Arabidopsis thaliana: one gene and its partner. The protein of the gene in region 1 interacts with the protein of each later gene in a pairwise test. Each region holds a gene or a part of one and is shown on either strand. Other genes may lie near its edges. The genes, in order: MYB41 and AT3G19120.

What was found.
Region 2: the proteins of MYB41 (region 1) and AT3G19120 interact in a two-hybrid assay, tested with the Arabidopsis thaliana proteins (one large-scale study listed by BioGRID).

What each region holds. Positions count from the first base shown.
Region 1 is NC_003075.7:13,966,295-13,973,733, reverse strand, and holds MYB41 (myb domain protein 41), read left to right. Parts: upstream 1-4,208; 5' UTR 4,209-4,349; coding exon 4,350-4,482; intron 4,483-4,590; coding exon 4,591-4,720; exon of another isoform or gene 4,721-4,971; coding exon of another isoform or gene 4,972-4,982; coding exon 4,983-5,568; 3' UTR 5,569-5,705; downstream 5,706-7,439. Other genes in the region: DGK6 (diacylglycerol kinase 6), read right to left, coding at 1-28, 115-189, 335-402, 557-639, 828-876, 957-1,065, 1,165-1,250, 1,336-1,464 and 2 more; AT4G28100 (uncharacterized protein), read left to right, coding at 7,037-7,439.
Region 2 is NC_003074.8:6,607,630-6,615,068, forward strand, and holds AT3G19120 (PIF / Ping-Pong family of plant transposase), read right to left. Parts: upstream 3,510-7,439; 5' UTR 3,390-3,509; coding exon 2,049-3,389; 3' UTR 1,721-2,048; downstream 1-1,720. Other genes in the region: AT3G19100 (Protein kinase superfamily protein), read left to right, coding at 1-276, 384-496, 604-711, 791-853, 948-1,115, 1,208-1,351; RBP47B (RNA-binding protein 47B), read right to left, coding at 3,769-3,885, 4,222-4,315, 4,429-4,559, 4,643-4,725, 4,902-5,385, 5,796-6,194; DNF (RING/U-box superfamily protein), read right to left, coding at 7,281-7,439.

The DNA of each region.
Region 1 (7,439 bases):
AAGATTCAAACATACTATGGACCTTATGCTGCCAGAACAAAAATTTATGTTAATTACTATATTCTCTATTGTACAAATAGAAAGCCTTGCATAACCTTTTACTTATACAGTTACCTTTGGGGAATATGAAGATCATTCCATTGGCCATTTCTATCACAAATCTGAATTTTTGCAAGCTTAGCTATGTTTCTGCAGCAAACGGCATAGATTCAATTGAGAGCAAAATTATATACACATGAAATCAAGTTACATCGAAACTATAAGATGACGTCTAATTTTAATGAGTGGCAAGCGAAATTGGAAAGAATGGATAAGAAAATAAAAATATACTCACTGTGAAGAAGGGTGAAAAAGAGAGGCAAAAAACCATCCTTGTGTGCAACTAAGCTTTAGATATGTGCTCTGGAAGGTCATGAAATCAATGGAAACATTACATATTAGTGTAATTTAGTCACGTGAAATATATTGTACAACTGTCCCACTAATGTAAACATTAGAGCCACATCAATTGAAGACAACATAAAAAAAAAACTTTAAGAGCAAAGGTAATGCAAACCTGATTAACTAGCTGATTTTTAAACCTTTCCGGGTGCAGTTTTCTCTGGGAATGAAATGCATAAGATACTTGAGCATCCATTCCTGCAGTAAAATTTGATTAGGGATTAGCTTGTATCTTCCACAAATACAACCAACCAGTGGAAGTACTGAACATGACAATTCATACAATTAATTTATAATCCAAGTTTCAAATATCATTGACATGATGTTTAGATATCATTTATCTCACACCTAACACAACGTGGAACGTAAAGAGCAAAAAATGTTACCCAAGCTGAAGTAATTCCAGAATCCCCCACGATATGTATGGTAACCTTCCTGAAAATTTGAAAAGAATAATGCTGATCATATAAGAATAAAAGAAAGAGATGATGCGCAAAAGAAGAAAAATATCTTACCATATTTTCTTGATCTGATGGGAAAATACGAGGAAGAGAATGTGGTAGCTTAAGAGTAATATCACAAGAGCCTTCCTTGGGATGCTTCATCCTCATAAGTATCTTCCAACTTGATTAAGATATAAAATGCATACATATATCAATCCAAAAACAAAGTATAATATATGAAAATTGAAAGAGAATGATATATGTGTAATTGAATATATACTTGTCTATCTTCATCTCTTTTGCATTGATCACTTTACCCAAAAAAGACTCCACCGAAGACCTATCTGTTCCAGGATTTTTCTTACCCTGAAGATGATGAGATTTAGTAAGAAGAAACATATTCTATGAGATATAATATGATTTGAGTGATCATCAGTGTATATATACATACCCATCCAAATGCAAATGGAAGGTTGTTACCGGTACCTAAAGGAACCGTAGCAATTGGAGGTGGATTGGATAAATTAAGATCAGAAACAACTCCAAGGAGCCAACCAGCTGTTCCATCTCCCCCTGCAACCTAAATTAAACATAACTCATGCTTAATGACAAATGACTAAATTATTAACACCTTTTCTATTTACGTACCGATGAAGATAACTCACAATGATTTTCAACTTGTCCCGAATCTTGCTAGCCAAACTATCGTCTTTTAACCTCTCTAGGTTAAGATAAATTCTCTGCAGCACTTTATCTGGGGTCTCTACCTCCAGATCAAAAACCTGAGTACCAAATATGCTATAATTAATAACCAATTAAAAAACATGGAAATATAATATATGATAATGATCATCAGTAAAATAATGTAGACAGTTATCTAATTTAATTAGTTTCCATATTTCAATCAAGTTTGATTTTTAGGGTTTTTAGGTTAAAATCAGATATAAAATCAATCAAGTTACGTATTTAAGAAGAATCAACGAATTCATCACTTTTTGTTGTAGAAGCCAATTTCAAAAACCAATGAATCATTAGTCTATGGCTAAAGCCTAAATTGATATATTATAGACCTGCTTGTCGTTGAGCAGAGTACGGTAGGTAAGGATGAGTTCTGCACCTAGTTGACCTCCGCTTTTGGAGTTGATGAATACGAGGATTGGGTTCTCAGGTGCAGTTGTACAACTGATTTGCGCCTCAGGCTCGTCTTCAGGCGAGAGAACGTACGAAGGTATGAAGAATTTCTTAAGGAAATCTGATAAATTCTTGTATTTTTCCATACTCGTCTCTGACTGAACCATTCACATATCAACACTCATCAAGTATTCATATTTAAGATTAATCAAATAACAAATATATAAAATCGACATCGTTAATCATGCAAAAGACGATCGAAGTAGACATCATACCATGAAATCTCTCAAGGGGTTGAAAGATAAAGTTTACTATATTATCGTGTCTTGAAAAAGTAATTAGATTTAAATAATGGAGATCCTGAAGATTTTATAACCTTTTGTTAATGGTATTGCTATACCAAGACTAATTAGGAGTTAGAACAAGGTTAAAGGCACAACGTTGATTTTCCTTTTTCTTTTATATAGATAAAAACACTAGTACTCTTAAATGGTCTTTATGCACATGAAAACGTGATCTTTAACATGCATATCTAATTAGTAATTACTGCTTTTTTTGTTTGTCAAAAATTACAGTCTTTTTTCATTACTTTTTTTGTTAAAGGATTTATATCTAATTTACTGCTGACATATGGAAATGGAGTCCATTGTCTTTGTATTATATATCATCTTTCATATATTTCATACTTTTCTTTAGTTTAATATATTTATACCAATTTATACATATTTAGATATTCTACAAATATTAATTTTTTGTCATCATTTGTTTTATATTTTATAACATTTAACTTATTAAGGTTAAACGCAATTACAAAGTGTAACTTAGCCCGTCACTGATGAGCTCATTTTTACAAGCAATTAAGCCCATTAAGGGTGTAAAGCTTAATTCCACTAATGGCCCATTAAGTAAAAAGCGCTATAGTATTAGGCCTTGTTCGAGAATCTCCTAATGCCATGACTTAGACACAATCTTTGGACTTGACATCAATACATCATCTCTGACGATGACCGATTTCCTTTGGTAAATCTCTGACGATGACCAATCCAGAAGAGAAACCTAAGAGTAGATAGAATGATGCAAAAAAGAAGTGAAAGGATAACCCCACATCACATCTCTTTCCATGTGTCACCTTCTGCATGAATCCACACATTGCTATTTTAAGAAGGTGAAAATATTTTAAAATGTAGACAATAAGCTTCGGTGTGAACTTCGGAGAAGCCTGTGGTTCTTGTGATAAAGGGGATATCGAATTCAAAGTTTGTTGCACTGCTTTCCACCAACAATTTAACAAACATAAAAAATAAAATAAAAAAGTTTCACTTCTTTTGCAATTTTGTAGTTATTTAATTTGCTTTTTGAAATCGTCTAAGTAGTGCCAACGTGGATGGCTTGTTCGGAGAGAGCCTTCCACAAGCAATTGAAACTTGGAATAACGTTGCATAAGTAAAATGTTGCAATCATCAATTTTAAAAGCACAAGGCACATGACATTAACACGTTATTTGAAAGTTTTTTTGATGAGAATATCCAACTACTTTACCGTCCTCACTCTCTTAACCTTTGAAACTCTAGGCTTTATGTTCCAAAATTCAACGTAACATATATTCTCATACTTAATTTTTCAGGTTTTCTTAAACCAAACATTATGTAAAAGTCAACTTACCTATATTAACATGCAAAGTCAACATCTCTTTTTTTGTTTAAGCAAAGTCAACAACTTAACCCACAAACAAAAAGCAAAACATGCAAAATTATTAATGTGCTTCACTCTGACTCTCACCACCATAAGGTAAACATAAAATACTCTCACCGCCGAAGTTACCCCCACAAGGTTTCTATTTTAATCTCTTAGTTCCATTACTTTATCTACATTAACATACAAAAGAACATTCTATCACTCCAAAATATACGCATAAAGATATTATTATTTGAACTAACAGAATCTAAGTTAGATAGATAGATTATATTAAATACCATACATACTATCACGTGGATCGTTTCTAGAATATACAGTAAAAAAAAAACGTTAGGCGATATGTAGTCTAAGCAAGGTTTATAACCTTTTGTATATTTCAAAGGACGTGGCATATTAGGTACATGCCAAGTGGAATTGACCTTGGCTCTCTTCTACATTGATAAAGTTCTTCGCATAATTCACATCCCTATATAAACAAATGAACGGAGAAGGTATGAGTACATCCACACATTGACATTTCTAAAATCCAACTCCTCTTTTTGAAAATTAAGAAACTCCACTTGGCTCTTCGATTTTTTCTATCTAAATAACAGAACCAAATCATTATCGAAATTTAAAGTTGTGCGAAACAAAACAAAGATGGGAAGATCACCTTGTTGTGATAAAAATGGAGTGAAGAAGGGACCATGGACTGCTGAGGAGGATCAGAAACTCATCGATTATATTCGATTTCATGGTCCTGGCAATTGGCGTACGCTCCCCAAAAATGCTGGTACGTATAAACTACACACCGTTCCTTATATTTTGTTCTCATAGATTAATATATATGTTCTCTATTTATTGAGTCACACACTTATAAGTCGTATTGTACAAATTAAAGGACTCCATAGATGTGGAAAAAGCTGCCGTCTTCGATGGACCAATTATCTAAGACCGGACATCAAGAGAGGAAGATTCTCGTTCGAGGAAGAAGAAACTATCATTCAGCTACACAGTGTTATGGGAAACAAGTAAGCCTGATCATTCACACCATAATTTTTGTCTGAAATTCATATTCATCAGCTACATGCTTTTGTATGTTAATTAATGTAAAACTCAAAAAGGGAGAGTGTACGTTTGCATGCGGGGGTACATGTCAAATGTAGGCCATCAACTCCAATAAACTATTATTAGTACTTTACTAGTACGTATTGACCTATATTAGAATAATAATAAAGGAGTTTTGTATTGATCATAGATTAATGTCACTAATATTGAATTGATGAATATTAGGTGGTCAGCAATAGCCGCTCGTCTACCAGGGAGGACCGATAACGAAATAAAAAACCATTGGAACACTCACATCCGCAAGAGACTTGTAAGGAGTGGTATCGACCCTGTTACTCATTCTCCACGCCTTGATCTTCTTGATTTGTCCTCACTTTTGAGTGCACTTTTCAACCAGCCAAACTTTTCAGCAGTTGCAACACATGCGTCTTCTCTTCTTAATCCTGATGTATTGAGGTTGGCCTCTCTACTACTGCCACTTCAAAACCCTAATCCAGTTTACCCATCGAACCTCGACCAAAATCTTCAAACTCCAAATACATCATCAGAATCGTCTCAACCACAAGCTGAGACTAGTACAGTCCCAACAAACTATGAAACTTCATCATTGGAGCCTATGAACGCAAGACTCGACGACGTTGGTCTTGCAGATGTATTACCACCTTTGTCAGAGAGTTTTGACTTAGACTCGCTCATGTCAACGCCAATGTCTTCTCCACGACAAAATAGCATTGAAGCAGAAACCAACTCCAGCACTTTCTTCGACTTTGGAATTCCGGAAGATTTCATCTTAGATGACTTTATGTTTTAATTTTCAACATTTGCATACACATGTCTTGCTTTCACACATATGATTCTTTGTTGCATTCTTTCTTTTGTTTGATGTATAAATTTCTTGTTTTTATTCTCTCAAAAGATATTAAGTTATTAGTCTATAAAATTTTCATGAATGTTTATGTATTATCTGCTTAGGCGAGATATCTAAATTCTGCTCCATTAGTCCATATACACAGTTGACGGAAGCAAACATAGAATTATTAGCGTCAAACACATCACATATTCATATTGCTTTGTTCGAATCATCGTCAATCAAGTTAATCAGTTTATGCGAGTTCTATCATTTAGGCCCAATTCAAGGCCCAATTCAAGTTCATTTTAAAGCCGTTAATTTGGCCAATTTAAGGCCTATATTCCGGAAGCTTGTAGAACTATTTTCTAAAAACCAAATCGATAATATGAGTTAGTTAAACTTGGTCTATATAAAATGATATTTTCACTTTTCAATTCCAAGCAAGAGATAAGTGTGGAACAGTTAAATCTAAGTCTTATATAGATAATTTGAATTTGAGGGATGAAGGCATTTTGACTAATTGGTATGGGCAGGTAAGTAAGCAACACAAAGAACGTGTGAAAATGCTTTAATTGGTGGAATTTGGAACTTAAAGAGGAAGATTAGGAAATGCATTAGTGAAAGTGGGGACGACTCCTTTTTTCTCGCCTTTTGGAGTTTTCACCTTTTTCCCTGACGGACCGTTTCCCTAGGCTGGCCTCCGGCTCATATTCATATACCCGTTTGAAATAAGAGGTTTATTTCTTTTTATTTTTGGATTTGTCAATGCTCATAAAGCGTATCAATGATTTAATATATGATTGTAGAGAGTTTTTGTGTTTTGTCCTTTAGATATCGATCCTTTTCTTCCTGTGACTATGCTCCATTCGCATCTCATCCCACCTCGTTAAGGGCTCGTTATGTTTCTCCACCATTCATATCTTTTTTTTATTTTCTCTAACTCCTATCTTTAAATTTTTCTCTTTCACATATTTTTGCTAGCGTTTTGCGAAATTAAAAGCCACCATGTTATATACATGAACATGTAAATACATTACAAATGTACATGGATAAATATGAACTATACATTATGCTTAGTTACTAATGTAGACATGTAGTTAAGAATTCTTAGTTACTACTAGAACTAGTAGTACAAAACAAAAAGACAAGGCCTATAATTTCCGGAGCTAAACACAGTTTACAAAGGGATTATAGACTCTAAAACAAACCAGAAACTGCCAAAAGTCAGGAATCTCTTGTTTTTCTTCCCTCACATCTCTCTTCTCTCTCTCTTCACAATAGTCCTTTGGACAGAACAAAAGAGAGAGAAGATAGTGAATAATGGAAGGCTGCTTTTCTTCGTGAATCTCAGAATCTTAAAAGACTCAGATTTGAGAAAACGTTTCAATATCTAAATCCATTTCTCTCCCTCTCTCTTTAGCCATTTAGAATGAAGAAAAGTCTCACTCTACTCATCCTCCTCCTCTGTTCTCTCCTCTTCTCCACCGTCTTGAGCAACCTACTCGTCGAACCGGTCCAACCCAACACCGTACCAGCCTTCCCCGTCGAAACCCAAGCTCAAAGCTGCCGACTTGACCTCTCCAACGAGCTATTCGGTGGCGTCAACGAAGCTTGCGGAAGAAACCTTGACCGGAGTCGATGTTGCCCTGTTTTAGCCGCTTGGCTCTTCGCAGCTCACGCTCGCTCTGCTCTCCAGTTACCAGCTCCTGCTCCAACGCCGGAATCTTCTGATCCCGACGAACCCATGAAGCCTGACGACTCTCAGAAGTGCGTCAACACATTGCAAAGTGCGCTTTTGACTAAACAAATCAAGATCCCTCAGCCTAATTCTA
Region 2 (7,439 bases), on another chromosome or scaffold:
TGGGAAGTGCATATTACGTAGCCCCTGAAGTTCTACACAGATCTTATACCACAGAAGCGGATGTATGGAGCATAGGAGTCATAGCATACATTCTCCTATGTGGAAGCCGTCCTTTTTGGGCAAGAACTGAATCAGGAATTTTCAGAGCAGTTCTAAAAGCTGATCCCAGTTTTGATGAACCTCCTTGGCCTTCGTTATCCTTTGAGGCAAAAGATTTTGTTAAGAGATTATTGTACAAGGACCCTCGGAAAAGAATGACTGCATCTCAAGCTTTGAGTCAGTAATCTCTAAAATATCCACATCTTTCTATATTTATCTTCTGTTTCTAGCTTTTCATGAATCACCAGTTGAAGTTACTCCACGTTTTTTTCCGGTTTTTACAGTGCATCCTTGGATCGCGGGTTATAAGAAAATAGATATCCCATTTGATATTCTGATCTTCAAGCAGATCAAAGCATACTTGAGATCTTCGTCTTTGCGCAAAGCTGCTTTGATGGTACATTTTGCTTCTAACCTTTTTTACTGTTTCCAAACAACATTTAAGGATGTGTTTGATATTTATTACCTTTGTATCTAGTTTGCTAACTCTTTTATTCTCTCCAGGCTCTGTCCAAGACATTAACTACCGATGAACTTCTTTATCTGAAAGCGCAGTTTGCACACTTAGCACCCAACAAAAATGGCCTCATCACTTTAGATAGCATCAGACTGGTATGTGCCTTCTCTTCCTCTCTGTCTCTCTCTGGTAGAAAGCAAACAGCTCAAAGCTAGATTTATTTCTGTTGGACAGGCACTTGCGACAAATGCAACAGAAGCAATGAAGGAATCACGGATCCCGGACTTTCTTGCATTGGTATTGTCTCCTTTCTGTTCTTGTCCTTTTGCTTAATCTGTTTAAGATACAATCCAAGGTTGGTTAACGAAAGTTTGGTGTTGGGAAATGACAGTTAAATGGACTTCAATACAAAGGGATGGATTTTGAAGAGTTTTGTGCAGCTTCCATTAGCGTTCATCAGCATGAGTCTCTTGATTGTTGGGAGCAGAGCATTCGTCATGCTTATGAGCTATTTGAAATGAATGGAAACCGAGTTATCGTCATCGAAGAACTCGCTTCTGTAAGTTTATAAGAAATTCGACACTTGCTTCTGTCATGCTTAACAATTTATTCAGCTAATTCCTAAACGAAGGGAACATAAATGTTTTGTAGGAACTTGGTGTTGGATCATCCATCCCGGTTCATACCATTCTAAATGACTGGATAAGACATACTGACGGGAAGCTGAGTTTCTTGGGTTTTGTCAAACTGCTGCACGGTGTCTCGACTCGACAATCTTTAGCGAAAACGCGATGAGGAAAGTGACTCGGTGTTATAACGGATTCGAAAGAGGAAGAACATACAACTGCAAGAAGCAAATGGGTGGATTGGGGTTGGGAATTGGAATTTTTTTCAGGACCCATTCCTATGTTTATAGTGTTAGAAAAAGAATGCTAAGTTCCGACAAAGAAAGAGAGTATCCAGAAAAATCCGACAGGCCTGGAGAGTTGTATAATAAGATGATAATCCACAGTCGTGTTCTTCCAAATCATGGAAGACAGATATTAAGAACATCCCTTTCTCTTTTCATTTGGCTGTCTCCATTTTTTCCAGGAAAAAGATTCAGATTCCATTCACAATGTGCCACAAAGCAAATCATAAAAACCCATTCCTAAGTCACAAAACTTACAGTAACAGAGAGCTATTAATATTTCAAATTCGGAAAAACTTGCTTCTCAAGATTCCATAATCCATATCAATAGAAGTCATACATTTCATTCTCAAAAGGTGTTACAGAACAAACCATAAACCCATTCCTAAGTTACAAAACTGACAGTTGGGATGGCTAGGCAACAAAGTCAGCTTTTTAACATTTCTGAATCCTCAAACTTTCTTCTCAAGAGGATTGAATCTACAATGCTATCTAAAGTTCTAAACACTTGAAAGCATCTGCTTCTTACATGATAACAAAGATAGAAAGCTCCATTTTTTGACCAAGATCTGTTCATGTCTTTTACCTCGAGGAGAGTCTCTGGTGTAAATCTTCTGCCAATGCTTGCCTCAAACTCTCCCCGTAATAGTAAAACTGCCTCTCACTCTCCAAAACTCTTGCAGGCGTTCCAGCTTCATCTGGATCCTTCCAAATCTCCGGTTCAGGTTCTCTAGCAATCTGACAAAGATTATGCAACACACAACAAGCCACAATAGTCTGAGGAGCATGGTTCACACCAACATTCAAACTCTGAAGAATCTTCCATCTAGCCTTGAGCAATCCAATAGCTTCCACCACCACTGACCTTCCTTTCATCAACATTCCATCGAATAGATTCTCCGGTGGCGTACCAGAGCCATTTGGTGAAAATGGAGTCATCAGGAATGAGAGAAGAGGATAACACCAATCTCCAACAATGTATGGTCTCACATGGTGACCTCTAATATTGATAACTTTCTCCCAAACAATGTCTCCTGAAGTAAGCCTCTTATATAGAAGACTATCTCTGAAATGAGAAGAGTCGTCTTCTCCACCTGGAGCTTTCACACAAACGTCCCAAAAGATCTTCTTGTGATCAGCAACAACCTGAAGCAAAACGGCGTCGTATCCGTACTTGCAACCGTAAATGTTTCTAGGGTTTAGTTTCGTGCGGCGTCTGAGCTTCACCGGAGTACTATCAATGGCGCCGCAAATGTTGGGGAGAGAGGTGAGTTCTTCGAATCCCTGAGTCGTTTCGATCAATCTCCGTTTTCCGACGGGGATTTTGATGAATTCTGGATATAGCTTGGTGGCTAAGAGACGTGTGACCATGTTTGTGATCTTGGAGATGAGGTATGGATCTAGTGAGTAGCGAGAAGCTAGGGTTTTAGCTGAGCAGCCATGAGCGAGACGAGAGAGGACCATAGCGACGGCGTAATCGGCGGGGAGAGAGAGATTTGAAGCGGTGATGAATGGTTTGAGCTTGTCGACGACGGTGATGAAGACTGGGTAGGAAAGACCGTACAATGAGCGCCAACGAGCGTCGCGGAGAGGCGCATCGAGTGACCAGATGTGGTCTGTGGTTAGGGCACGGAAGGCAGCGACGGAGTAATCGCCGTCGGCAAGAGGCGGAGGAGGGGAAGGGGAAGGTGATTCTGAGGAAGATGAGGATTCGGTTGAAGATCTGTTGACGGCGAGGAAGGAGAGGAGAGATGCGAGAGTGAAGAAGAGTAAAGGCGCGGCGGAGGAAGTGGAGAGGAGGGAGGAAGGTGTGGTTGAAGACTGTGAAGATGTGGATGCGGAAGAGAAGAGAGTGCTTGTAGGATCTAATGAGTTTTGGAGATGGAGAAGATGTGAGAGCATCGCCATGAAAGCTTCTTCCATCTTCACTCTCCGATTTTTTTCTCTCCGGAGAGGTTGAGAGTAGAAGAAAAACTGAAGAAGTGAGAGAGAAAGGGCTAATAGCTAAAAATTTAAAATTAATGTGAGTTAATAAATATAATTTTAAAGTTTTGGGGTTGTTTGTTTAATTTCAGAAAGTTTTGGGCTTATAAGCAATTCGTAGAAGGTAAGCGGAATTTTGATCCAACAAGTTGCAACCATTTATATTAGTCTGAGACAAACCAGTAACCAAAATTTTTGAATCTCCTCCAAACAACAAGTCTATCAAAATCAAATCCATCTAACAAAATTCTTCTTTCGACTACAGGTTTTAGCTTTGATATGTGAAACCATGATGAAGATGATCACTTGATGAGTCTCTTCAATTCTCCCCATGATAGTTGTTGGAGTCGTGGTGGTTAGCATATCCTCCTCCATTGTTGTAACCATGTCCTCGTGAGTATCCTCCATTCCACTGCTGCCCTGAGTCTCCTCTCCACTGCCACAAGTTGAACACATTATGAGAACTAAAAAGAAATCTATTGCCAGCAGAACCAATTTGGTTAAGTCCTAGACCAAAACATGTCGACATAAGACCATGTTCAGGGTTGGTGACACAAGTTGGACATGGAGACATGTATTAGATATTCTCCCACTTGCATAAGTCAAAATAGAAAACGAAGGGAAGGTGCTAGATTCCACCAGCTATTATTGTCAACCACTGACTTTACTTTTAATAACAAAACAAACAACTATTCACAAAGTTTGACCCTAGCAAAATACTCAATTTACTCTTCTACTGATAGAATGCATCAACTCCAAAGTGAAATTTTACCTGCTTGTTTGGGCTTCGTCCCCAGGAGAGTCTGACAGTGTTCTTGCCGATGACTGTCCCGTTCAAACTCTCGATAGCATCTTCAGCACTCTTCCTGTCAAAACCAAAGGCAAGTCGCTTTGAATTACTCGCTATGAGATAAGCACCTACAGGTTGCTCAATCATATGATTGCCAAGCCAACACTACTAACTAGATGAAGACAGCACCTGTCAGCAAATTGGACAAATCCACATCCTTTCCCTACTGGGATCTTCACTGAAACAACCTCTCCAAACTGGGAAAAAGGTTGTCTGAGGTCTTCATCAATAACATCAGGGTCAATGCCGCCAACAAATATCTGCAGTAGAATAACCTAAGATGAGCAGCAAGAACATATAGAGCTTGAATGATGCTGACATATAACTAAATATGACAACTCACTGTTGCGTTAGTTGATTCGCCATCAGACTGCGAGCCATAACCCATGGAACCATTTGATCCATGTCCACCAGCCAGAATCACAGCTATTCCAATGAAAACATAAAATCTTTATAGTTCAAAAACTTTGTTGAATGCAACAAGTTGTTAGCTCTAGAGTCCTATGGATTAAAACTGGCTCACCTCTCGCTTAAAACTAGTACACTTAAATAGAAAGAATCAGAGGGTAAAACTAGTTGCAGAGAGAAGTATGAAAAGAAACCTTGTGAAGAATGTTGTTGCTGATTAGCAATCGCTCTTTTGGGAGTTGCAATACCTACACGCATTTGCCTGTTCGAACAGTAAGCTCCATTCATTTCTGTCAAAGCCCTTGACCTCTCATTTTCATCACCGAACCTCACAAAACCATAACCTTTGGACCGGCCGGTGTTGGAATCAATCACAACTTTGGCGCTTTTGACAGAAGGATATCTATCAGAAAAGGTCTCATGCAATAAAACGTCAGTGACATCTGGAGACAAGTCTCCCACAAAAACAGATAGGTCTGGACCATTTTCCACTGCTCTTTTTTCACCAGTACTAAAAGATGCCCAGTTTATACGGAAGGGTTGGTCCGAGTTTGGCATCACTGAACCACTATAGTTCTGAAGAACTTCTTCAGCTGCAGCACGTGAAAGAAACTCAACAAACCCATACCCTTCTGATTGAGAAGTGAGCTTGTTACGTATAACTTTCACAGAAGAAACCTGCTCATCACAAAAAAAAACAAGAAACTTCAGAGAAAGAACAAAACAGAACACATGTATAACTGGATATAAGTTTATTCATGAAAAGTGAAAATCTTATGCAATCATTCTCTTTCATACCAGAAAAGTTTTAACTAAACGTGGCAAGGTACAAGAGTACTTTTTGCCTAACGAAATATGAACTTGTCCTGTCCTTTTCAGGTCAAAGTTGTTCTCCATTACCCTATTTGTTTCTATATCCATTGGATCTAATCTAATCCAACTAACTAGTTTTTTAAAATAGCTACTTGGTTTAACAATGAATCAAAACACAAGAACATGTCAATGATTTGCAAAAAGGATGAATTTTTAACCATATTTACAAGTAACAATCTAAATCCAAAACAGAGTACCAATGAACAAGATAATACCTCGCCGGTGTGAGAAAAGCAAGAATGGAGATAAGTCTCATCCATCCAATGAAGAAGATCACCAACCCAAAGAGTCTTGACATCATCTCCAGATCCACGGTCAATAGCCTTGTGTTGCTGGTGCTGGTGCTGTTGATAAGACCCGTATTGGTGAAGCTGAGGATGATGCTGCTGATAAGGACCTTGATTATACGGAACATATTGATGAGGATACATCAGCATCTGTTGCTGCTGCATCATCATCATCGCCGCCGCTGGTGGATATTGCATGGCAGCCATCCACTGTTGCTGTTGCTGTTGCTGCTGCTGCCACTGCTGAGGTGGAGGAGGGGTTTGTTGATTCGGCGGTGTGGCTCCGGAAGTTGCCAACGTCGAATCTGAGCCGTTGGTTGTCTGCATCTTGATCCGATCTGATCTCCGGAAAGGGAAAACAGAGTCTCCGAGTTGTTTTAGATTCAAGAGTTTCGAGATTCTTCTTCTCTATGAATATATTTCGTTCCAACAAGTGTGCGTAAAGAAAGTGAGAGCTCGTTGAGCTCTGGTAATGGCGGAGAGAGAGATAGAGGTAGAGAGAGATTTGGTCTTAAAAGGAGGCGGAGAGAGAGAGAGAGAAGTGAGTTAATGGGTTTAAGGCTGAAACAATGGGTCTTGGGGAAGTGGCCGAAACGTGGGGCCCATTTACGTGCTTAAGCCGTGTTGTTTTTTGAGATCGACGGCTCTGATTCCACCGCATTTAGCCACTTACATTTAATTATTTCACCTTCTAGGGTTTTTAAAATATAACTGACTTTTTAATCATTGGGTAAAAACAAAAACATATTTACGTGATAATATGATTAACCGTTTTGTACTGTCATGAAAGAGTCAGCTGTTCTACAGTAAACTCTAGGCCTATGCAAATTAACCGAGCCGTTTTACTGTTCTACAGTAAATTTTAAAAGTATGTAAATTAACCGAATCGGATGTATCGAACCGGAACTAAAGTAAAAAAAAAAAAAAATTACATTAAACCAAAGATTCGAAAAAAAACAGAATAGATATTTTAGAATCGGTACCAAACCGATATAAAATACAATTATATATCCAAAACAAAAGTTATTTATAAACTAAATAATAAAAATATTTGAGAATATATAAAATCATAAAAATATTCAAAAATAAAAGAAAAATATCCATAAAATAATTGAAATATCTAAAGTAAAATATTTGAATGGATACTAAATGATAAAACTTAAAGAACTGAACCAAAACCAAACCAAAATTTTAAATTAGTTGAATGAATACTAAATTATATAACCGAAACGAATGGAACCGATAGTCGTTTGGATAACCGAACGTCAGGACTAGTGAATCCAAAAAAAAAAAAGAATTAGATATGGGCCTTATACTCAACACCTGTTTAAAACAGAGGTTTTGAAAAAACCATATTTTTATATCTCGTTCCACTGCATCTCTATGCAACCATCCTCAAATCTTCTTGTATGCCTAACCGGAATTAGGGTTTGGACTAAGAGAAAGTTCGTGATTTTGGATTTCTTCAACGTTCTTTCTGCAGTTAGGGCAAGTATAGTCTGAATGAAGCCATGTGTCAGTAAAATCAAAGTGAAAGCAATGATTACAACTAGGTAAAACCCTGGCTTTGTC